3 linked regions of the Drosophila melanogaster genome follow. Changing the gene in region 1 together with any one later gene gives a genetic interaction. Each region holds a gene or a part of one and is shown on either strand. Other genes may lie near its edges.

What was found. A genetic interaction does not mean that the proteins touch.
Region 2: of Tl (region 1) and cact, changing one suppresses a phenotype caused by changing the other (phenotypic suppression), as found in Drosophila melanogaster (2 studies listed by BioGRID).
Region 3: of Tl (region 1) and Akt, changing one suppresses a phenotype caused by changing the other (phenotypic suppression), as found in Drosophila melanogaster (3 studies listed by BioGRID).

Annotation. Positions count from the first base shown.
Region 1 is NT_033777.3:26,796,746-26,803,373, forward strand, and holds the start of Tl (toll), read left to right. Parts: upstream 1-2,295; 5' UTR 2,296-2,735; intron 2,736-6,628. UniProt on the Drosophila melanogaster protein: Receptor for the cleaved activated form of spz, spaetzle C-106. Binding to spaetzle C-106 activates the Toll signaling pathway and induces expression of the antifungal peptide drosomycin.
Region 2 is NT_033779.5:16,321,798-16,328,740, forward strand, and holds the start of cact (cactus), read right to left. Parts: upstream 4,411-6,943; 5' UTR 4,224-4,410; intron 3,829-4,223; exon of another isoform or gene 3,697-3,828; intron 3,624-3,696; exon of another isoform or gene 3,258-3,623; 5' UTR 3,231-3,257; coding exon 2,536-3,230; intron 1,721-2,535; coding exon 1,543-1,720; intron 1,374-1,542; coding exon 1,163-1,373; intron 1-1,162. Other genes in the region: CG4278 (uncharacterized protein), read left to right, coding at 5,360-6,238; mRpL4 (mitochondrial ribosomal protein L4), read right to left, coding at 6,333-6,552, 6,615-6,943. UniProt on the Drosophila melanogaster protein: Involved in the formation of the dorsoventral pattern. It inhibits nuclear translocation of the dorsal morphogen in the dorsal region of the embryo. Acts as a negative regulator of the NF-kappa-B (rel) signaling pathway.
Region 3 is NT_033777.3:16,097,020-16,106,637, reverse strand, and holds Akt (Akt kinase), read right to left. Parts: upstream 7,411-9,618; 5' UTR 6,978-7,410; intron 5,879-6,977; exon of another isoform or gene 5,859-5,878; intron 5,739-5,858; 5' UTR 5,695-5,738; coding exon of another isoform or gene 5,452-5,694; coding exon 4,912-5,451; intron 4,844-4,911; coding exon 4,646-4,843; intron 4,581-4,645; coding exon 4,191-4,580; intron 4,128-4,190; coding exon 3,894-4,127; intron 3,826-3,893; coding exon 3,679-3,825; intron 3,608-3,678; coding exon 3,524-3,607; 3' UTR 968-3,523; downstream 1-967. Other genes in the region: Mhcl (myosin heavy chain-like), read left to right, coding at 9,050-9,502, 9,565-9,618. UniProt on the Drosophila melanogaster protein: Serine/threonine kinase involved in various developmental processes. During early embryogenesis, acts as a survival protein. During mid-embryogenesis, phosphorylates and activates trh, a transcription factor required for tracheal cell fate determination.

The DNA of each region.
Region 1 (6,628 bases):
GGTGTTTGCCCCGCAACAACAACAAGGCCGGGCATTATATGCTAGATATTTATCTCCCGGCTGGGGAAAATGGATCTGGTTGCATGCCGCAGAGTGTTTGCTTTTGAAATGTTTGTCATTATCGTCGTTAACTTTTTGATGAGTCGAACGTGTGTGATAAAAGTGTCACACGGATTGAAAAGAGCGACGAGCGAAAGGAAAAGAAAAACTAATAACGCAGACGGGCCAGAATGAGTTTGTACGTGTGTGTGAAGAGATATATATATGGATGTTGGGGTATATGTATATAGAATGTATCTTTCGGATACCAATTGCCATTAGTTTATTGAGAATCCGAAATTTATGGCTCTGCGTGTCGTGGCCAACCACGCACAAATGGTCACAAATCTGGACCTGAAACACATGTGGGCCTGCCTTTGGTTCCTCCAGCATCTGTGGCACGTACAAATTTCATTTGTTGCACTATTTATGTGCTTCTCCACTGATGAAAATGAAATCAAATTAAATTTTCGGCACAATTCAAAGTGAAATTTTGCAGCTAACATAAAACAAGGCAAATGAGGAATAAATCTCCCGATGTGTGTCCTGTGCGCTGGGTTTTCCCATGTGGGTACATTGAATGGGAAATTACTGGAATTTCCTTTCGGTCAGAATTACATGCGCATATTTCGGTAATATCTTTGAAATTTACAGTAAATCCTAGGTATTTGAAATGAAAAACACGGGCAGTGTGGCAAATGTGTATATTAATGCATCTTTGCGGGGAGAAGTAGCCATTATGTTGCCTATTAAGCTTATCCAGATTTGCGTTGCTTTGTTTGATTTGACGTAAAGTTATTTGCTTGGAAAGAAAACATCTTAAATCCTTGAAAATTGTGGTGTAAGCCTAGTAGTAAACATTAAAATTGTTGTTGTAATATTTCAACAAATTTATTTAAATTTCAAAGACTTTAGATAATTACCAATTGGGAAATGGAATCAACACAAGATTGCTATGAAAATTGTACATGAATTCAAAGATTATTCATAAGCATGTCCTAATTTTCCATACGCCGTGCATAATTACAGAAAACACAGTTGCAGAGGGATACGATTTCCATTTGCATTTCCCATTCCCCGTCCCTGTCGCACTTCACACGCTGCTCCCCCGGGAGCTATGTCCCATCCTTGTTCCGCATTAGCAGAACGCACTTCCACTTCATTTGAGTCGCAAGCGGCAGAGCGAGAGGGTAGATGTTGTGGAAGTGTGGTTTTAATTGGCACACAACAACAACAGCAAGCAGTCTGCTACGTGCTGGCAATTACATTTTACATTTTACTCAGAGAGAGAGACTAATCAACTAATAAATCCATAATCACTGTTATTACGTATGCTGCCTGAGATGCTTAGACTTTGAAGTTAACCGGTTAAACTTGGCTAACAAGAACTGAGAACTACTGGCCAACAACAACTGCCGGCTTTTCCCCCAAAAATGAAAACAAAACAGTAGAAGGCTCTCTTGCTCTACCACTTTCTCTTATACTCTTATACGAAGTACCTGTATTTCAACTGTTTTCCTCTCTCGCATGACTTTTATCGCATGCGATTTGTTTATAGTGCAACGACCACAGACACGAAGATAATTCGTGTGTCTCTCTCTTTTTCTCCCACGCATCTGTACCTTCGAACGGTATTTGTGGGGTAGAAGAAATTGCTCGACTTATTATATCGTTTGCCACTCAGAAGTTAGGGAAAGAATTTTATTTTTTATAAAAATCCTAGTCAACTAACATAAATCAACTGAAAGCTCGATTCCTCATATTATCACATTGTGTTATTGCTACAAGAACTGTTGTTCTAAAAATTCTTATCAGTACGTCAAAAATATAAAAAAATTTCGAGACTAGCATTTTTATCCAACTCATATTTATTTATAATAAGCTGATTATATATAAAACCCAAACAGCTTTATAGAAATAACTTCACACGTTATTTAAGGTTAAAAAAGTAGCAAGATAGGATGTTATTAAAAGTAGAATATAAAAAATATAATAATAATTTAAAATGTCTTAACAAACTGGAGCTTAAGGAACCAAAAGCAAACAAAATGATATAAAACATATAAAGACTGTGACAAAATTATTAAAATTTAAAATAAAATATATTAATAGGCTGATTACAAATTTAAGTAAATAATGTTTTCTATATTGAGCAAAGGGTATCTTGCCGCCGACTCAGCCACTCTCTCGTCTTTCCCTCCACACTAAGCGCACTACCAGCTCTTCATCTCTCAGTTCTTCTTTCTTTTCGAGTCGAGTTCAGTTTGTTCCGAATCGCCGACGTGAACGCACGCTTGTCGCGCTTGTAGCAGTTGGATTTTTGATTTTCCCAGCCAGAGTCCCGCGTTCGTGTGTTGTGGGCCGCTTTTGTTTGTCTCGTTTTGTGGCCAGCGATTTGGCAACCGAATAAGCCAAGTTAAGAGCAACGCTACGCAGCACAAAATCCATAAAAACAAGAAACACAAGGCGCAATTAAATGCAAATGTGTGAAAGTGTAGCAAGCATTTAACCAAAAATAAAATCGCAAAAAATCGCGGCTTCAAAGTGCGAACAAGCGCGAACAGAGAAGCTAAACAACAGTGCCAGTGCGTGTTTGTTCGTGGCAGCTTAAGAAAAGCCAAATAAATATTAATATTTGCACAAGAGATCGCAGCGGAGTAGCTAACCTCACATTTAATAAAACACGTATTAAAACGGTAAGTATTTACGTCTCCTTGTTCAGTTATTACACTTTGAACCGTGCCATCTCGCTCTGTCTCGTTATCTCCCATTCGATTTTGCTTTGTGCTAAGCTTCGCTTGGCTCGCGCTAAGCTCAGCTATCTCTGTCCCACTCTCTGATCAGTCCAATTCGCCTATAATTGCACAGAAAAAAATTTACCAAATTGATGGCTCATCGGGCAATTGGTTGACATTTTGTTCCAGTTTTGATCACAGTCAGATAAAATCAATTTAAAGTACATAAAATGAGCTGTAAAATATTTGTAAACATCTTTAAATTGATCTATTAATACTACTACTACTACTACTACTACTACTAGTACTCTGCGTAAAACCGTATTTTTTCCTGTGCAAATTGGCGATGAATAACAGTTTCAGCAGTTGTAACCGTTGCACAATTTTCCCCAGTGCTTGTGTGTGTCACACTCTTGTTGTCCACAATTTCCGTGGTTTTTCTCGGCACTTTCCAGGGAAATGTGCAAAATGCTGCAGTGCAGCAGCAAGTGCTCTTCGGCCTTGGGGTGTGCTTTGCGTTTTGGCCAACCCATGAACGAAACAAAAAAGAAAACAAAGCCACACGCATTTGGCCCAAAGCTCACGAGCCAGCATATTAACACTTTGAATTTTTGGCCAAAAACCAGTTTGGAATCGAAAAAACAAACAGACACAACAAAAGTTTATTTACTACCAAAGAGAGCTTCGTTCAACAGGTTTTCATTGCGGGGACTTTTATTCGTATTGAAGGTGGAAATACCTGGGTAATGCAGGTTTCAAAAGTACTTCTAACAAACCAGAAAATGCCCACTTGTGCTTTAAAAGCTAATAAGTTGCTGATTAGAAACAGCAAAACAAAATAAGAGAAGAAGGAAGGGACAAGAATCTTCTCGCTTGTACCAATTATGGTAAAAATCGTATGACCTTATGATAAACTTAGACTTTTGTTTTTAATTCATTTCGATTCTTCTTGGGTTTTCCAACACCATAAATCTCTTCTTAGTTGATAGCCCTTGACCACTAGCTACATTTATATGAAAAATTCGGAAAACCCCAAGATTCAACCCCAAAAGTTCAACGATTATCGCTCAGAAGCAGCAGGTCTTGAATTCAAGAACAATGCTGTTTTAACAATAATTATACAATATATATAAATTTTGATTGTATTTTTTTCCGATAGTTAACATCCTGCCATTGAGCTTCTTTCGCCTGAGGGTTTTCCGAATAACTGTACTCTGGATTTAGGTTAAGATTTTTCTTCTTTGGCCCACATCAAAGGCAAAGAAGCTTTCAAAGCGGCTATAACAATGGCGGCAAACTGAAAAAAAAAAATGCTAGTCTTCGTCTGTGAAGGTAAAACTGCGGAAGTCATTTAACAGTCTACTTAACTTCTGCCAAAAAAAAAAGAAGTGAACGAAAAAAATGAAGTGGAAAACGGCAAACTGCAAACGTTCAAGATGCTCCGCTTGGGTCTTTCGTCTTGGCCACGTTAGAAAGTAGCTGTAATTGTGGCTCCGTTATTGTTATGGCCAAACCGCCACTAGTCCAACTGCAGGCGGTAAAAGTTGCCCAAAATGAATTGTCATACAAACACGTTTGTTATAAATATTTCTGCACAATGAGAGACTCATTTAAGATTCATTGTACTCGCTTTTTTAGTTGTTAGCTTTATTTTTCCCCCTCTCATTATTGAGGGCGTTTGTCCACTCGGTTGATAAGCGAAAAGGCAGAAAAACAATATTCAAAGCTGACTCCGCTTTGGTTTTTACATCTGCCAAGTGTTTTTTAGCTTTCTGCTATTTCACTCTTAGTTATTGGCGACTTGTGTTGATAATTAGCACGTCGGCTTTCAGCGTTTCTATGACTTGTGGTCCGCTCAGCGTGATGAGTCAGCCTCCTAAGCTGAAAAGAGCGTTACGATCGAACCACCATATGTCTTACTCTCCCGATCTCAGATCAGCGGGCGGTTTAACCCAAAGTCAAACCAGATCCGTGACGTAAATGGGAGACAAATACACGCAAAAAAAAAACAAGACTGAAGATCTGAAGATTGTATCTATAAGATCTGTTATTAAAGTGATATGTAATTACATACTACATTCTTATATGATGACTATAATGACTAATATAAACACGTTTTAATATAGTACAAGTTTATATTATATAGCGTAATATCATACTTACCGTATTGTTATCACCTGTTTTTTTTTAACAACTCATTTCTTTTCGTGTGATTTCAACGTGTGAGGTTTTTTACTCTCCAATCAGATTGAACTGAGATAGAACTGCCTGACCAGTCACAGGGCTTATTGCCTTGCATTCAATTAATTAATTTCAATTTTATTGCTTCAGCTGACCATAAAATCGTGAAGGGAGGAATAACCATAAGTTCCCCACTGCGACATTCTCTCGGTGGAGGGAAATGAAGTCGTTGCACTTGCTTTCACCCTAATGCCTTCATCAGCTGCACAAACGAAAAATCTCATTAATTTTCCACTTTCTGTCTATCTTTGGGTTATCTCTCCATTGTTTGTCCCCGTCCCAGTTCCCTTTATGTTCTTACTATTTTTTTTTTTTTTTGGCCCTACCTGCGTGCAGGAGTTTTCCCTCATGAAGTTTTCGGTCGCGACATGTTTTCTGATCCGTGTCCTGTGCTCTGGTCTAGTTCATTAGATGGACTTGGCTAATCGATTTCCATAATCAAACAGATGGCGCCAGAATATGAGAACGAGAATGAGACATAGCAAATGAAGCCGAGTAAATGTTGATATAATAAACCCCGTGTGGCAGGGCCAATTAGGCCTTACTCCTCACCTGTGACACAGCCACATATTTTCTCATTTGAATAAAGAAACACGACCACAGCAGGGGAAACATTAGACGCGCCTAAACGTAGAAATTAGCGGCCACAGAAAACGGGAGGGAAAAATTCCAAAAAAATAAACATACCGAAAAAGAGAAATTTAATTAAAGCCGCATAGAAAAAAATGCATAAATTTAGTCACCCAAAACACCCACCCACCTGGCATGTAATATTTGTAACCTCATTGCGGCGGCAGGGGAAAGGCGGTGTAATTTTCACGGTCCCCGATCTGCAGCTTTTCACCAACTTGGCGGGTCAGTCCGGCATAATGATTAGGGTCAGTGTGGGGTGGAAAGTCGGGAAAACTCCTGCCACCCAGCTGGAAAAGGAAAAGCAACAGCAGCGGCATAAGCATCAGCATCAGCAGCAGGTTGCCAACAATTTCTGCTTATAATTTTCCGTTTTTCATCCTCCTTTTCTTTTTGGCCCGCTTTGTTCTGGTCGAGATAAAAGCATTTGTCATTAGCATAAAATGTTCTGGCTCAGGTTTTGATCTGGAGTTTGGCCCGAAAAAAATTAAAAATGCTACGAATATTTGAACTTCATTAGTGGGCCAGCGAGCCCAAATGGGCACTTGGCTATAATTAAAATTTAAGCTAATTTTAATGCTCAGAAAAGCGGGGAAAGGCAAGCCGAACAACAGTAAGTCAGCAACAATTTGGGCCAGATATTATAAAATACCTCAAATGGTGAATGTCCAACGCTTGATTTAGCTTTAAGAATGGAACACGAACCCAAAGTGAAAGATAATGGATTGGGAAAATGGAAAAACCTACGCTTTTCCTTTGATGGGCATTCACTGATAAGAAATGCCCACGCAACAATAAGAACAGGAAGACACGTTTTCGTAGGTGCCAGTAAAAGGCGATCGAGTCATCATGCCTCGCCGAGCACCCTTGGTAGTACCCTTGTAAACGTCTCAAGATTAAAGTCACCGATAAGTCGAAAATGTACTTAGATGGCCAAGATGCCATGATAACGCCACTCCCAAGGGCCAACACTCAACACTTTG
Region 2 (6,943 bases), on another chromosome or scaffold:
TTTTTGGAGGAGTCCAATCGTTAATTACAACACTTTTACTTTCCATTCAATGAAAAATCAATAATATTCGAGAGCTTGAGTTTTTATTAATGGTAGCAATTGAAAGTTCGGTAAACAATTCATTTAATTGAAATAAACTACCAAATAAACGGATTGTGCTACCAAAATCTTGGCGAGCAGATACAGTGTGCCACAAATTATGAATTATAAATATACGTTCTGATTTAGAACCCTTCCTGTGCTCCTCCACACATGTTATGCAATGAGTGTGGGTGGCACCCCCACATCCCAGAGGCATTGGAATCGATAATTCGATTTCTGGTCCGCGTATACAGAGCAAAATCAAATAAGGAAACAAATGTTAATTATGAGACACGCCTGTCCTTACGTGTGGAAAATAAATTCCATTTCAATTATTTCCTCGATGCATTCGAAATTAAGACGCAGTGGTAAGACAGAGCAAATACATGAATTTCCATTTCGAAATGAGCTTATGTAAATGTGTATTTCAGATTCCACATCCAGCAAACAAATAAATATTTACCTATCCTTGTGTAAAATTGTTTTTTTTTTTATACTTTGCTGACGTCTGAAACTTTGCAAATGTTCTGCTTCTGTGCGTTCTGTGCTTTTCGTTTATTTTGGTTAATCAATAACGCAAATGAACAAGGAACAGGGAGGGGGCTTGCTTTTTTTTTAAACGTTTTGACGAGCGAAAATTTCAAGCGAAATGTTTCGGGGAGGCCAATGTATTTTTGGCATCTGCTCAAAGGCGTCTATATAGCCCATAACCATATGTACGTCTATAACGTACATATATACAATGTGTACTATATGGCAGACGACAATGTCTCGCAGTTTGGCTAGCCGTTGGCGGGACACCATTTATATCATATATGTATATGTTCATATATAGAGCTTTATATAATTGGTACATTTTTGGCACAGATTCATATTCTTAATGATAAATGCCTGAAAATGCTGGGCCAAAAATATTCACTTTACTAGAACGGAAAAATTCCTACAAGTTTGCGAGACAAATAGCTCGTGATTTCCATACCCAAGCAATAATATATTGCTATCTATACGAAATTGTGGAATCAGTAATATTAACTAATTATTATTGCTTGAGTGCGGTATATGTAACTAGCACTTTACTTACCATCGTAGTTGCGAATCTCCAGATCGGCGGGCAGGCAGGCGTAGCTCAGGGAACTGACCGCTTTGTCGTTGGATCGGTGTCCATATTGTCGGTGGGCCTCATGGATTTCCGTGGCGCCGAACTTCTCTGTCAAGGCACGGACGCACTGTTTCTCTCCGGCGATGCAGGAAAGATGCAGAGCTGTGTTTCCATGACGATCGCGCACCGTGGGCTATTCAAATGAGTAATGGGAATCTTTTGTTACAAATATAAATACTTAAATTAGCTTTTGTTAGAAAATCAAGATGATATGACATTACATTCGTCAATAGGGGATTAAGCTAGATTTTACAAATATGCAAATATCTAAATCTTCTTATTCGATCTTTGTTGAATATTACCTCAGCTCCGGCGAGTAAAAGTATCCTCATGATGTTCGGCTGGGCAGTAAGAGCGGCCAGATGAAGGGGTGTCTGGGCCACATCGTTCTGGATGTTGAGCAGGCACGGATGAGGAGCCATGCGAATCAGGGCGGCCACCACGTCCACTGATCCCGAAATACAGGCCAGGTGCAAAGGTCTGAAATGAGAGAGAGAGAGCAAAAAAAACAACATGAATTTGTGGGTTTCTTTTACCTGGCGATCGAACACCCGCACTTTCTTTCCTTCCTGTACACTTGTCGCCGTTCATGTGGCGGCGTAAAAACCCAAGTAAGTTAAGTAGAGGTAAAGTAATGTGAAGAAAGAAGAGGTGCCCCGAAAAACCTGTTCCCGTACCTGCCCACATACCAGGAAAACCCCAAAGCCTGACTAAAACACATGTGTCAGTCGCGTTTCTCGCCTCAGACAATCGTCTTTGAGTGATTCACGAAACTCTCCCCTTAGCTCGCTTGGTGGTCATCAGTGCAACGCGGCGTTGTCTTTGTTATTTTGGGAAATTTTAGGATTCTCATCGGAAATACGGCACGTATAAGTTCATAGAAATTCGGAAATGATTCAAAGACTGTGCTTATAAATCTTTAATCGTGAATTGTCAATGAGTATGTTAAATTGATTTTTAAGAGCATGAAGACCTAAATTCTAATAAAGATTTTTTTTTGGCGATTGTGACAGTCTAAATATAATCAATCGTTTCCAATTTCAAAAAATACCGTCCAATTGTATAAAATATTTAAAATATAAAGTTCTTATGATTGCTAGTCTAAGAATAAGCATGGGAAAGTTTTTAAAGTGACCTAGAGATAAGGCGCTAAAATGTTTAAATCATACTTGGGAATTTCCCCACATTAAAAATACACATTCGAAGTTATCTATAAATGTGGTTTGCACATATATAAATAATTTGAAAGTCTAGAATAAAGTGACATTTCCTGAGATTCTATAATGTTTACTTACGTGTCGCCGTCGTCGTTTTGTTGATAGAACTGCTCCCAGGCGTTCATGATATTAATGCTGCTGGGCGGAGCGGATGATGTTGCTCCCGATCCCGAAGGATTCGCGTTCGCCGTGCTGGCTGTGGAGGATTGAACCTTGCTGCGACCGGTGATTTGGGTGCTGCTGCTCTGGCCGAGATTGTTAAGCTGTTCGCCGCGACTGACCAAATGGCTTTCGACGGTCCATTGTGGGATGCCTGTGTCCGCGCTGTGTTTGAGTCGCATTGAATCGGCGGTGGCAGTGGTGGTGTCCTGGTGCTCCTCCTCTTTCTCCTGCTCCTCCTGATCCTCTTCTTCGTCGATAATACCGGAATCGAGGACAACGGGCTGTTCCTTTTGGGGTGCCGACTCCTGCTGATCCTTATCCTGTTCCTCGCTATCGGGGACTATCTCCTCGCTGAAGATCTGCGAGGATTGCGGGCCGGAGATGAAGCCCGAATCACTGGTTTCGTTTGGCACGGCAAATTCCTTTTGCTTGTTAATGGCGGCCGTTTGATCTTGTGTTTTGCCGCCAATTTTACCGCTAGTGGCTAGTGAGGACGAGGGGTTAGCCGCGTTTGAGGGGGCGCGCTGCTCAACACTGGCAGCGCTGCAGCTGCAGTCACTTGTTGCTGTTGCCTTTGTTGCTGCCTCCGCTGCTTTTGTTGGGCTCGGCATTTTCGTGCTTTTCCTCTCTCAGTTGGGCTAAAATATATGTATATATGTTATATATATACTCCTGTCGTTTTGAACTTTGCTTTTGAGCCCAGTCTCTCAAACACACACACATACACACGCACAGTAAGCGCTCACCTCGGTGGTGCGAGTGAAACAAACATATAGGCTCCAGCGAACAAGTGAAAACGCAATAATTTTTGTAGATTAAAGGCAATTTATGGACTTATGTACAAGTGTAGCCGCAGAAAAATAAAAATTACGGTTTCACACTGGTTGAAAATTTTAGATTTTTCCATTTGCCAATGTCTTATTTGCCTCTTCACGGTTGTTTCACCCGCACACACCCACAATCACACTGAGGTAGATTTTTTATCTCCCTTTTCACACAGCTTCCTTTTCGCTTTTTATTTTCTGCACATGTTCTGGGTTTAAACCCCAGCACTATTTTCTATGGATTTCTCACTACCTTGCTGGTTAATTGTCTTGCGAAGCTGTCTTTAAAACGCGTATTTATGGTTTAAATGTTTGTAATCTGCAATTCGCATAGTACCCGGACGCACGTCTGCTTTCTTTCACGTTTCGATAGCGAATGAAATTGAGGGAGCGCGCTGATATGTATATATTTATATGGCAGTCTATACTATAAAGCCCCGTTTGCACTAAGAGTTATCACGAAATGAAGAGTCTCGATTTTAAATTTTCTTTACTTAGAAAACTGTTAATTGAAAAAAATCTATTTTTTCATATTTGCCCAAAAAAAATAAAATTCTAGACTTGAAAAGACCGAAGTGAAAACGTTTGCCTTAATATATCGACGATGGAGTGTGTAATCGGGGCTTAAATCAGTTTTACATGTGTGCGAGGGAGACCATAGGGTTGCCAGATAGTAGGGAGAGCGCCAAGTTAAAATCTCCCAACAACAAAATGAGCAGCTAAATGGTCAGCTGCAACAAAAGCAACCACAGCAGCGATGCGTTTATTTATACTTCTTACTCTCTGATTGTGTGATTGTTTAGTTCCTCGAGCGAAGCCACTTGATGTTGATGCTCGGCGTCCTACGGTTGAAATGCGTATGACGGCGAGGCGGACAAATATCTGGGAAATCACCCGCTGACCGAGAACGGAAATGAAATGCAGGATTCTTTCTTCGGTTTTTCACAGGTCAGCTTCGATTGAAACCTCGACCAATTCTGAATTTCATGGGATATTCTGAGCGACCGATTTGTCATACACTCTCCTTCTGGGATTTTTTAACACTCAATCACATTTTATCGCCAATTCATGAAATATTATATATACGATTATTTTGGTTTTTACAAGGTTGTATTGATTAAAAAATTATCTGAATCCAAGAAATTTAGAGGGGCTTTACAAGATTATCAGATTCTTACCATAAAACCTGTGTTTACGGTCACAAGTAGTTTCGAAAGTTTTTGCTCGCTTTTTTAATTTAAAATTTAAAATTCCGCCTCTCGTAGTTGTAAAGTTATTTATTATAACAAATAGGTTATTAAAAAATCGGACTTGTTTCCTAAAATTTTGATTAAATTGCTGGGAATTTGTAAATTACTCTTCAGTTTTAGGGGTTTGGTCATTTCCTTGTCGGGTTTTGCTTTTTGCTTTTGTATGACTTAATTAAATTATTCTTTAAAATTTAAATTCTTCGGCTTCCGATTGAATTTCTTGAATTATTATTTATCAGGCGTTCGTTTTTCTATTAAAAACAAGTGTTTGGTGCCAATCTGATAAATTTATTAAGGTATATAAACTTTTTAAATATTTTGTTAATTTCTAATTATTTGTTTGCTATAACATAAACTTTTATCGTTTTATTAAAACTGTTTTGCTATTCTCGTTATTATAAAATCCAAATATTCATTAAATGTTTTTCTAACAAAATTACGCAACAAAAATGTGACCTGCTAATAAAATTATAGTAGTGTTTTTTAATGTTTATTAATATTAACCAATTACTTTATCGCCCAATTTAAAAATTGCGGGTGATAACAGATGATTTTAAGAGCAGGTAAAACAACAAAAATTAAGTTGGCAGCACTTACCGGCCAATAAGTCAATTGCACAAAATCTTAAACGCAGGACCAGAAATATTTTGCAAAGGACGTCAAGGAATGCTGAGAAGGATGAACACTTTTAGTGGTCAAAAGCTGGCGGCTGTGGTCAAGGAGCTGGAGAACTTTGCTCCGACTTCTTGGGCAGAGAAGTGGGACAATGTGGGACTCCTGATCGAACCGCACCGCGAAAAACAAATCAAGAAAATACTATTAACTAACGATTTAACCGAGCCCGTAGTGAAAGAAGCGCTAGAGAAGGAGGCGGAGCTCATAATCAGCTATCATCCGCCAATTTTCAAGCCCCTGACCAGGATTACGCAGTCACATTGGAAGGAGCGCGTGGTGGCAGCATGCTTGGCCAACGATATAGCCTTGTACTCGCCCCACACGGCGTGGGATAAGAAGAGTGGTGGCGTCAACGACTGGCTATCTAAGGCAGTGAATATCATCAGCATCCGCCCTCTGGAACCGGAGTTGGGTGCTCCTCCGGGTACCGGATCCGGTAGATATATAGAAACCAAAATGGAGCTTTCCCAGGTGGTGGAGTCTCTGCAAAAGCGCATTAGAAACAGCGTGCACGTTGCTCTAGCTGTGGGCCACACCCCCAAGACACTCATCCAATCCGTCGGCATTTGTGCCGGCTCTGGAGCATCTCTGCTGAAGGGTATCCAAGCGGATCTTATCATTACCGGCGAAATGTCCCATCACGAAGTTCTGGAGTTTACTCACAACAATACCACCGTTCTTCTCTGCAATCATAGTAATTCAGAAAGGGGTTTTCTCCATGAGTTTTGCCCTATATTGGCCAAATCTTTAAATGAAGAATGCCTGGTATTTGTATCTGAAGTGGACAAGGATCCTCTGGTCACCGTGGCTAGCGATATAAACAAAGAACTAAGCGCATTTGTTGACGTCTACAAGAGCACATCAAAATAACTTTGATCTTATAAGCATTTTTTGTTTAACAATGCATTTTCTGGCGCATCCATAAAGGTTACAAATAAACTAAAGGATTTAACTTTCTTAACTTCTAGACTTGATCCAGCTTAAACTTGCCGCCCTTGCTGGCGGCGTCGTTTCGATTAAGTTGGTAGAGCAGGCGCTGCTCCAGATGTTTCACTGCAGCCACTGTCAGCACCAAAGTATCGTGCTTCAGCATAGAATAGACGTTCAAGCCAAAGGTTGGCATCAGGTTGACATAGCCCAGATCATCGCTAGCCTGGCAAATATTGGCGGGGAACATATGGTCTCTGAGAAAAACAGAATCAGTATCAATTTACATATTATATGTTCACCTACAAGCAGAACTCACTCGTCTACAATCAAAACAGAAGGTCCCCAATTCCGTTCGGCGATTAAATCCTTAAGGAACTCTGCATCTCCGGTGGGTATGTCCACATTATCGATGATGTGCAGATCATCCTGGGCCAGCTTAACACTCAGCGTGGAGGTCAATCCTAAAACCCTCTTATAGAAGGGCAGCATGTAAAAATGGGTCGTAGGCGACCTGGGTCCGTGCACTACGCCGCCGCCCTTCAGCATGGGCGAACGGAGGGAACCGTGGCGGGCACGACCACCTCCCTTTTGGGGCCACGGCTTCCGACCACCACCGCGCACCTCCGCTCGAGTTTTGGTGTGCGC
Region 3 (9,618 bases), about 11 Mb from region 1:
GCATTTTTCATTCGTTGCAACCATTTTCCAATGCTGGCTTTCGTTTGGATTCGGTGTTTGCAATTTCATTTGTCGTCTTATCCGTCATAAGCTCTCCATTTCGGCTCAGGCTCAGTTAAGCTAAGCTTGACTTGGGCAGCTCCGAAAAGGGAAAGTACAAATCGCACTTTCCTAAGCACTTAGGGCTTGCCATTGGCAATCTACTGCGAGTAGTAGTAGTCAATGCAGCATTGGCCTAAGGATGCAACCCAACCCAAAAACGAGCTCGAGTCTCGAACAGCCGAGCCCAGTCCATAAAACGTAACTCAAGTTCAATATGATTCACTTTCGCTTTCGATGCGTTCGAAATTAAATTTCTTCTCTTTGTCTCGGCTATTTTGGATGGGCGCAGTTGCTAAAAATTAATAGCTTTGTGTCGCGGTAAGTACGCGCTTATATCCGCATGAATTTGCGGGCTGGAGCGACACACATTCTGTCTGTATATACTAAATGCTAAATGTGGCGAACACTTATGTATACTCGAGGTTAGGGGAAAGCTGCCTCCACTGCGTTCGCCACTCTGTGGCCCCCAAGATTGCGATGCAATTAATCATCGGACAAAACGCATTGTTCGCGTTCCCTGGCAACGGCGATGGGATCGGGCGTGGGGATCCGAAGGTGGAAGTCGGACCCCGGGCCTGCCCACTCCTCGGATTCGAGCTGCTGCTCCCGAATACTTAAGTCGGTCATTGGCGCTTGGCCAGTGCGTTTTTTTTTCCGCTTCCTCCATTTCCACATCCACTTCAGATGCTCCCTCGTTTTTACATAGTTTTCTTGACCCAATTTTGCTGTAGGACGAGGTGCAAAGAATTTTTATTGCTGATACTTTTACGTAAAAGTTCAAAAGCATAATTATTTAAATCATTACAGCAGGATGGATATGAAAAAAAATACAAAACGTGTCCCATATTCCAAATAAAAAAGTTTTGCATAGTAGTTTGGTTTTATGTAGTTTTATTATTATGTTTTCACTGTATAATAAACTTGGTTTGAATGCATGTATATGTATGTTTTAGTTCGATCTTGAATCGTTTTATAAATCAGCTTAGTCATTATTATCTTTATTTAATATAATTAATAATTAAAACTGTGCGAAACTCGCATTTTCGCCTATCAAAAATTACTCCTAATCAAATTTTCGGTTAGTATTGGGGGCTGGATCTGGATCTGGATCTCGGTTGTTGGAACGGGTTTATCTTTTTCTATTTTACAATACAAAAAACAACTCAAGTTGCTCGAGATGATCTATGATCTGACTGGTTATATCTCTCTCGGTTTCTTTCTATATATAGTCAATTTTAAACCATGTTGTTTTATTATATCGCTTTAGAACACATTGTAGTTTGCAGTTCGTGTAAGTTTTTGTTTTTTTTTTTTTAATCGAAACCAAAAATTGTCTCACACAACTCAGTAAACTTAGACAACTATTTTGAAAGGTCTCTTTCGTCCCCTTCGACGGGTAGAAAATGCTTCGATTTGGGATACCAGAGATGTTGACGTTCACTAAGGCTAGTATTCAATTTGCTTCGGATGTCCCTAACCGATTTCTAAGTCTTTGCTTTAGATTTCTAGCTGGTTGCCCCTTGGCTGGCAGACTTGCCTAACGAGTCTGTCAGAAGGGTTATTGGGCTTGTTGAAGTCGATTCTCGGGTTGTATGTCTATTAAGCCATGCTTAGGGGTTCTATATTTTGTCTATGTATTGCTTGATCGATCTGAGATTGATATTGGCTAGCCTAGATGTCAGCCGCAAACTTGGTGAGCAGAAAGCAAGGACTTTAAGCTGTTCAAGGATATAAAGATTGGTTCAATCGGAGCTATCTGATATCTCTCCTCAGCATAGGCTGGCTTTAGCTAGTTAGTTCGTTCCTAGTCATGATTTGGAACCATCATCGTCACATGTCCAAGACTCCAACCGAAACATCCCGACTTGCTGGCTCCTCAATTCTCGGTTCTCCTCGAGTTCCACCTAACTTCGCCGCTTCTTTGGCATTTTCTTTTCGTTTCTATATCCCTTCGTTTTCGATTTGCTGTTTATTGTAATCATCGAGTGATAGGTTTCGTTTAACATTTAGAAGAGAGATTATGCTTTCAATTTCTTTGTTTTCAGTTGAAATTCCCGAACTTGATTTTATTTAATAATTTTTATTTACAATATTTATTTTGTTTTCTTTACGAAATATAAAATAACTTTTTGTTTCGTTTTATTCTTGATTTTTGTTTTTATTGCGCATATAAAAATATCAAAAATTCTTTATTTTCTTTTAGGTTTTTTTTCTGTTTATATAATTTTTAATCTTCCTTTTGGAACTATTTGTAAGTCTGTTGTGGTTGATTTATATATATTTTTTGCTGACTTGCTCTAAGTATACAAAACTTGTTATGAACTTTTCAATGCCAAAAATGAAATGACAAAGATACATTTTTTATTGTGTCAAAGGTTAAACCTTTTCTGTGGCCTCAAATGGTGACTTCCATTTTCCACACGACACATACATCCTTTGTTTTTTTTTTGCATTTACTCTTGAGTTTTTGCTTTTTTTTTATAAATATTTACAAATATATATTTTTCGTAAAAAATTATAATAAAAAATGGCGTCAATTGTAATCATTTTGCTGTTGCCGTTATTGTTTCGAAATATGTTTCTGCCTGAATATAACTTTTAGTTGCTTGCTAATTATTGGCGCCTATAAACTGCATTGATGTATGTTTCCCTCGTTTATTAACTATTAGTTTGTTTGTTTCTGTTGTTGTAGTTTTGCATAAAGCACAGCACATTAGAGGCAATTTTAACATTATATATAACTTGTAATTGTTTCTGTTTCTTTTTTGCTTCTTTGGAGTATAAATAATTTATATATACGAGTGTTGCATGTGGGGGCGGTTGTTGAATATGTGTATTTCGATTTGTTGCTGTCAAGTTAACTAAACTTCATGTTCGCTATATGCTAAGTGGCTGTGTGAGTGCTGTCTGCGTGAATAATCTGTATAATCAATCAGCTTAAGCGACCCCTAGAGGATGCGATCCGATGATGCATGCTTTATCCTAGCACTAAGTCGCTCTAAGTCGCTTGGTTAAATGTTTTCCTTGCGTTTAAAATTAACTAATCACTTCAAGCGCTATGCCCCAAGTGTTATATTTAGTTGTATATATAATTATATATATATATATATATATATTTATATATATGTGTATAATCATATGTAGTAAATTATTTTCCTCGGCTTCGGCTGTTGCCCTTTCGTTCAACGTTCCCTTTCTCATTATACAAAAATAAGTTACTATCAATTCAATTCTCTTATTATTGGTGTATATAAACTAGCAAGAAAACCCTTTGCTTGCCTTCGTTATCATGGTATAATTAATATTTAATATATTCTTGCTGTTGTTTTCTTTTGCCCATTTCTATGTGTTATAGGTATAGTATAGTAATAGGTGATGAAGCAGAACATGATGTGTGCTGGTAAAAGTTTGTAAACTTGTTCTATTGCATCGATGCGAGACTTGTGGAAGTACTAATGTGCGACGAGGTGCCCAACGTGGAGGCCATGTCTCCTTGGTAGCTGAACTGTGGCGGTGAAACCAAAAATTGGATGAGCATACAGAACCCCACTTTAAATGTTTTCAACTAGATCTTACCTGCGGGAAAAGCGGCTCTTCGGCTATGGAGCCCAACGGGCCAGTGGGATCCGGCGGCGTCAACTCCACACTCTCTCCCGTAAACTCCTTGTCGAAGTACCTTGTATCCGTATCGGATGTCACCTGAGGCTTGAAAGGCGGCGGTATCTACGGTAAGCATTTTAAATTCGATTAATATATACGAATAGGTAACTGACAGATTTACTGTGCCCTACTTTTTTCAACACTAGATCTGTCCAGTTAATACTCGCAAAGAATGGATGTGCTTGTATCTCCTTGACATCATCCTTTCCACCTCCCAAACGCTTTTTGGGATCCTTAGCTAGAAGGCCTGCTAACAGATTTTTCGCCTCATCTGTGATATTACGCGGGAATTTTACCTCCTCCACCAAAATCAATGTAAAGAGCACATCATGATCACGATTGTAAAACGGAAGACGACCACAGATCTGTAAGGAATTATTTTTGTTTTTAATACTTGTTAATAGTATTTGCAGATGCAACAAACTCACCATCTCGTACATGACCACGCCAGTGCCCCACCAGTCCACCGCTTGGCCATAATCATTGTCATCTAATACTTCCGGAGCTAGGTATTCCGGTGTACCGCAGAAGGTTTTCGTTGTGCGGCCGTAGGTGATGTCCTCCTTGCACAGACCGAAGTCTGCGACCTTTATGTGACCATCTTTGTCCAGCAAAAGATTTTCCAGCTTTAAGTCGCGATAAATTATGCCCTGTGAATGCAGATAGCCCAGAGCAGAAATGATCTCTGCCCCATAGAAACGTGTTCGATCCTCAGTAAATATGCGTTCGTGGCTTAAATGCCAAAAGAGCTCGCCACCGTTCACGTACTGCATCACAAAACACAGGCGGTCGTTGGTTTGAAACGAATATTTGAGTGACTGCAAAACAGGGAAGACATATATTAGTTTTTTAACGTAAATTATATATTACTAGCAATACTTACAATGAGGAACGGATGATTTGTGGACTTGAGCACACGACTCTCGGTCAGGGTATGGGCCACCTCGTCCTTTTGGATAATAACTTCCTTTTTAAGAATTTTGATCGCGTACAGCTTGGCGGTAGCCTTCTCGCGACACAAAATAACCTTACCAAAGGTGCCCTTGCCGAGCACCTTGAGGAACTCAAAATTCTCCAAAGTCTACAAGGAGATAAGATGGAGTCAGCTCGATCACGCCCTTGGTCAATGACCAGGTGAGTGGTACTTACCACTTTCTTAACGCCGCTGCTATTACAAGTCGTTCCCTGTACGGAGAACTGCTCGGAAAGCTCGTCCTCGGCAATGGTGGCCATGTCCACGTCTGTCATGTCTGTCTGTTCAGATGGCGTCATAGCCACCTCACCCACATCTATGAGCCGGCTGGATACGTTGCGAATGGCCTCCGTCCACTGCTGGCGCTCTAATTCTGATTCGACGGCAAATGTCCTTTCGATTACCGTGGTCCATTGCAGGCCGCGGATGATGAAGGTGAATGGCTTGGGCCGATCGACGGTCATGATCTGGCAGCCGCGCACCGTAAAGTTGTTGAGCAGGAAGTCCGATGGCGTGCTGGCACTATCTGCCGGCTTGCTGCGGTAACCCATCAGTCTTCCATCGGAGTGGAGCACGAAGTAGCGCTGGCGCCAGTTCTTTATGTGCTCGCCCCTCTTCATCAGCCACCCCTCCTTTACGACCTGAGTCTGTTCCGTAAGCGCATGACCCGATGTAACGCTGGGCGAGCTGAGGTCGAAAGTTGTGTTTATTGACATGGTTCCGGAATCGTGTGTAGGGGCCGCGGAGGTCCTGCTTGGCCAGGATTGCTGCCAGCTGAATTTCTCTGCACTGCCGCTGGTGGGGCTGCTGTTTGGATGGGTGGATTGGCTGTAGATGATGTTAATGATGTTGCTCCCTGTGGTGGTGGGCGATTCCGGGATCCTAGAGGCAGATCCTGGCGCTGGGGCGCTGGCAACCACAGTCGATCGCCGCTGAAGAACAAACGGTAGGTAATTCGTGTTGAGGCTGTTTCACTAACCCTAGGGACAAGCTAATGAGGGACCTGTAAGAGGAGTACAGTGAATCCTTTATATTCATGCTGAGTTTGAAATACTTAAACTAAGAATGCGATCGACGAAAAGAAAAAGGCTTTAGCAGAGGGTTCGTCTAGTAACACCTTTACCTTCAGGGATTCAACATGTACTAGATATTAACTGATCCGCCAACTGTCGACATAAACTAGTCAAAGTGGACAAATGGAGTTCCCAAATGAGCTAGCTATCAAAAAAGGGGAAACAGACACTAAAAGGCTGCCAAGTCTATCCAGATATATACTTCCCACATCGCCTATCTCACGCTGATAGTAAACAATTGTTATTGTCATTTTGCATGTTTATGACAAATGCAGTTGGCGCTTGCGTCAGCAGCTGGTGCAAAACATTTGCGGCATTTCCGTCGCCAGAAAGGGATTGAATTGGATTGAGGACTGTGATTCTGATTGTATCGAATTGGATGGGTTGGTATGGTGTGGCATGGTATGGGATTGGATTCTTAGTCACTGGCCCACATGCAGATGTAGGCGCCATCGTCGCCTTGTTGTTGCTGCCACTTTCGGCTTCAAACGAAATTCCCCGCCATGTTACGCAGCGACACGGCGATACGAGTGAAAATTGTTCGCGATTGCATTTAGCGCGAAATTAAATCAAAACAAGTCGACGGCGGCGACTGTTCATGAACTTATGTATATGCATATATAATACATACATATACATATGTACACATACAGGGGACTCGCAGGCGGCACTCGCACTCGTACTCGCACTCACACTGGCACAACTGCAAAAGCAAAAGCATATTCATTTACAATTTGCGAAAATGTCAACGACGGATGGCCGCCGGCTGTACAAATGTCGCTATCTATCTAAAACTGTAAACAAATGTACATAAAATAAAAATCGACAAAATACACACACAGGCATAAGCGGACAGGCGCTCGCACACCGAGGCAGTCACACAGACAGGGCTGCATTGCAAAGTGCGAGTGAGGCCAGACTGTGGGTGCGAGGGGGAGGGAGACAGACAGTACGCGTGTCTGCCACAAAGGTGTATGAGTGTGAGTGTATGTGTGAGTGTCTGGCCGTGTGCGTGTGATTGTCTGGCCGTGTGGGTGTGAGTGGCTGAGTGAGTGAACCACCGAGTGTGCGAGTGTGTGTGGGCAGCGGCGACCTAGCAGCGCAACATGTCAAATCACTTCGTGGAAATGGAAATTGTGGAAATGCTGGTGAAAAATACAAGAACCCACCTAGTTTTGTAAAAAAAAAAACCCGACTTTTGCTTTCCCTACTGCACTGCGGTTTGTTTTCCTACTCGTTTTGGTATTTTCCTTTAGATGGTGACGGCAGCGACAACGTCACAGGCCTTCTTATTATTGTGCGTGTGTTGTTGTTGCTGCTTGCTATTGTTGTTGTTGCTGCTGCTGCTGTAGTTGTTGTTGTGTTAAGGTGCCAGACACCAGAGGACGGAACGAAACACACACAATCTCGCACTCGCGCACTGGAAGTCGATTTCCGCCACCCGGGCGTTTCCACTTGGTGTTTTCTTGCCTTCCAAAGCAACGTTGCATCAATTGCAAATGCTTAAAAACGTAGTTTTCATAAACAGAAGCACGCACACAGGCAAAGTAAATTTTCCAAGTACCGTTTAGTTTTTACGCTTCACTTTTTTTCGATAACTGGCTCGATAACTGATTCGATCCGCGTTGCCACCTGTTTTAGCGATAGTTAGGCGACTGTTACGGTGGAAAGATGCCAGAGAGAGACATTATTTAAGAGCTGTACAACGCGCAAATATCCCTTAAATTTAAATTAAATGTTTTAGAAGGCAATAGTTCTGTTTTCTGACTGTCTAGGCCGACTCTTTAACTAGAATTCACTTCAAATTTGAATGTATGAACTGCAGATTAATAATAATGCTGTATTGTTATTAAATTCATTTTTAAAAACTTTATTTTATATGCTATGTATACAAAACTATTTCTTATATCGACAAATTGTTATAACTTTTCAAAGCATAATTGATCAAAAATTTGGAAGCCCTATCAATTTTATATATGGTTCCTGTCCGCACTAAGTAGATACTCTGATAAGTATGACCATGTGTAAGTAGCTAGAAAAAGTCAGTTCTCTTTTCCAGTTTCCCAGATCAAATTTGATATTCACCTCTTTGGGCACTCTTGCTCAGATTTGTTTATGCAGAACGCGAAGTCTCCTTTGAATCCGAAAAAAAAACAAAAAACGAGTAGCGAATAAAGTGCCCCATTGGCACAAAACGAGGTAAATAACTTGCAACCCAATCGGAAGGGAGAACATAGCATGCCACTTTCAAATAAACAAATAACGACTCCAGCGCGACTGTGTGTGCGTGAGTCCCTCCCAATGTTTGTGTGTGTTATCAAAAAAGGCGTAGAAAAGTGCAAAAACAAAGGTGTTATTGACTCTCAACTTTCTTTTTCTGCCTATCGTGTGTATCACTGTGGGCTGTGGCCGAATAAGAGCGTTCGCCGAATATGAGCAATTGGAAAAGCATGAGCATAAGTAATGAGGCAGAATCGGTTGCATTCAATTAGTTGGAGAAATGAAAAATATGAAGAGATGGTGTAGAGAGAAGGGAAGAGTGCAGTCTCGAGCAATCAATACCAACGCAGCCACGAGCCCCCCTTTCTTTGTGTGTGTGTGTGTTACCGTGTGAAAACAAAACAAATGTATGCTAGCTGTGGAAAAGAAAGCGCATAATTGAATAATAAATAATAACAGAAACAGGGCAAATGGCAACGACTCAATGACAAAAGTAAAGCCGCCACCGCAGCAGAAGAAATGTGGGTGCAAAAGTGAAGAAATATGCCATTGTTTATGTGATTTGCAAATGTGCACATTCACACAAACACCGTGGCAAGATAACGGTTGTTGTGCGGGCGGGTGCATTGCTCGAAGTGGCTGTGCAATTGTAAGAGCGAGATAGCAATACGAAGAGAACAGGACTGAGCAGTACAGGGGCGAAATCCAGGGGACCTTAAACGTGGATTATGGGCACCTTAAATGTTTTTGTAAAATCAAATCACATAAATACCGTACTTTAAACTATTCAGTGAATTAAAATTGTGTTACTGATTTTAAAAATGTAAGTTGTAATTTCAAGTTTGGAAATGAACGGTATGCCCTGCACGTTTGTCTAGATCCACCCCTGGATAGAGCGCAGCAAAGAGAACAGTGCAAATCGAATTAGTCCAGACTTTTGGTCACGCCCTTGAACTTCGCATTAACCCACCAACGCCCCCCTTCCGCAGCTAGCACCTAAGGACCCCACACACCACATAAGATGTTCAACTTTATGAAGAAGAGCGCTGGGGATGAGGACAAGGAGCGTCGCAAGCGCGAAAAAAAACTGCGCAAAGAGGCTAAGGGCACCTCTGGTGGCCCGGGAATGGGAGGCGTGACTGGCGTCACCGGCAGCATGAGCACCGACGAGCTGCTCCGCCTGGACGAGGTGCGCCGATCGCTTAAAATCCGAGGGCGACGCAAGGAGAAGGAAAAGTTGCCGAGCGGAATTACGGCGGACTATAGCGCAGACTTCTTTGCCGCCCTCAATGCAGATGCAAACGGCGGAAGCAACGGAGGAGCAGTGGGAGCTGCAGATCCCGAGCAGGATCGTGGCAATGAGGAGATTGTAGCATCTGTGATGACGCACATCGAGAGCCGAGCGTCCAATGGCGCCGGCGTGAGTGTCAACTACAGCGAGGTCACACATTCTCTCCTCTCTGGAGGGCTCAAGGTGAGGTCTTTGTCGTTTTCTTATCCGAAATCGTATTGAAAAACTTTGCTTCCACATTCCAGAATCGCTTTCTTCCACCTATACCCCCAAAACCACCCAAGCGTGGCATTCTGAAA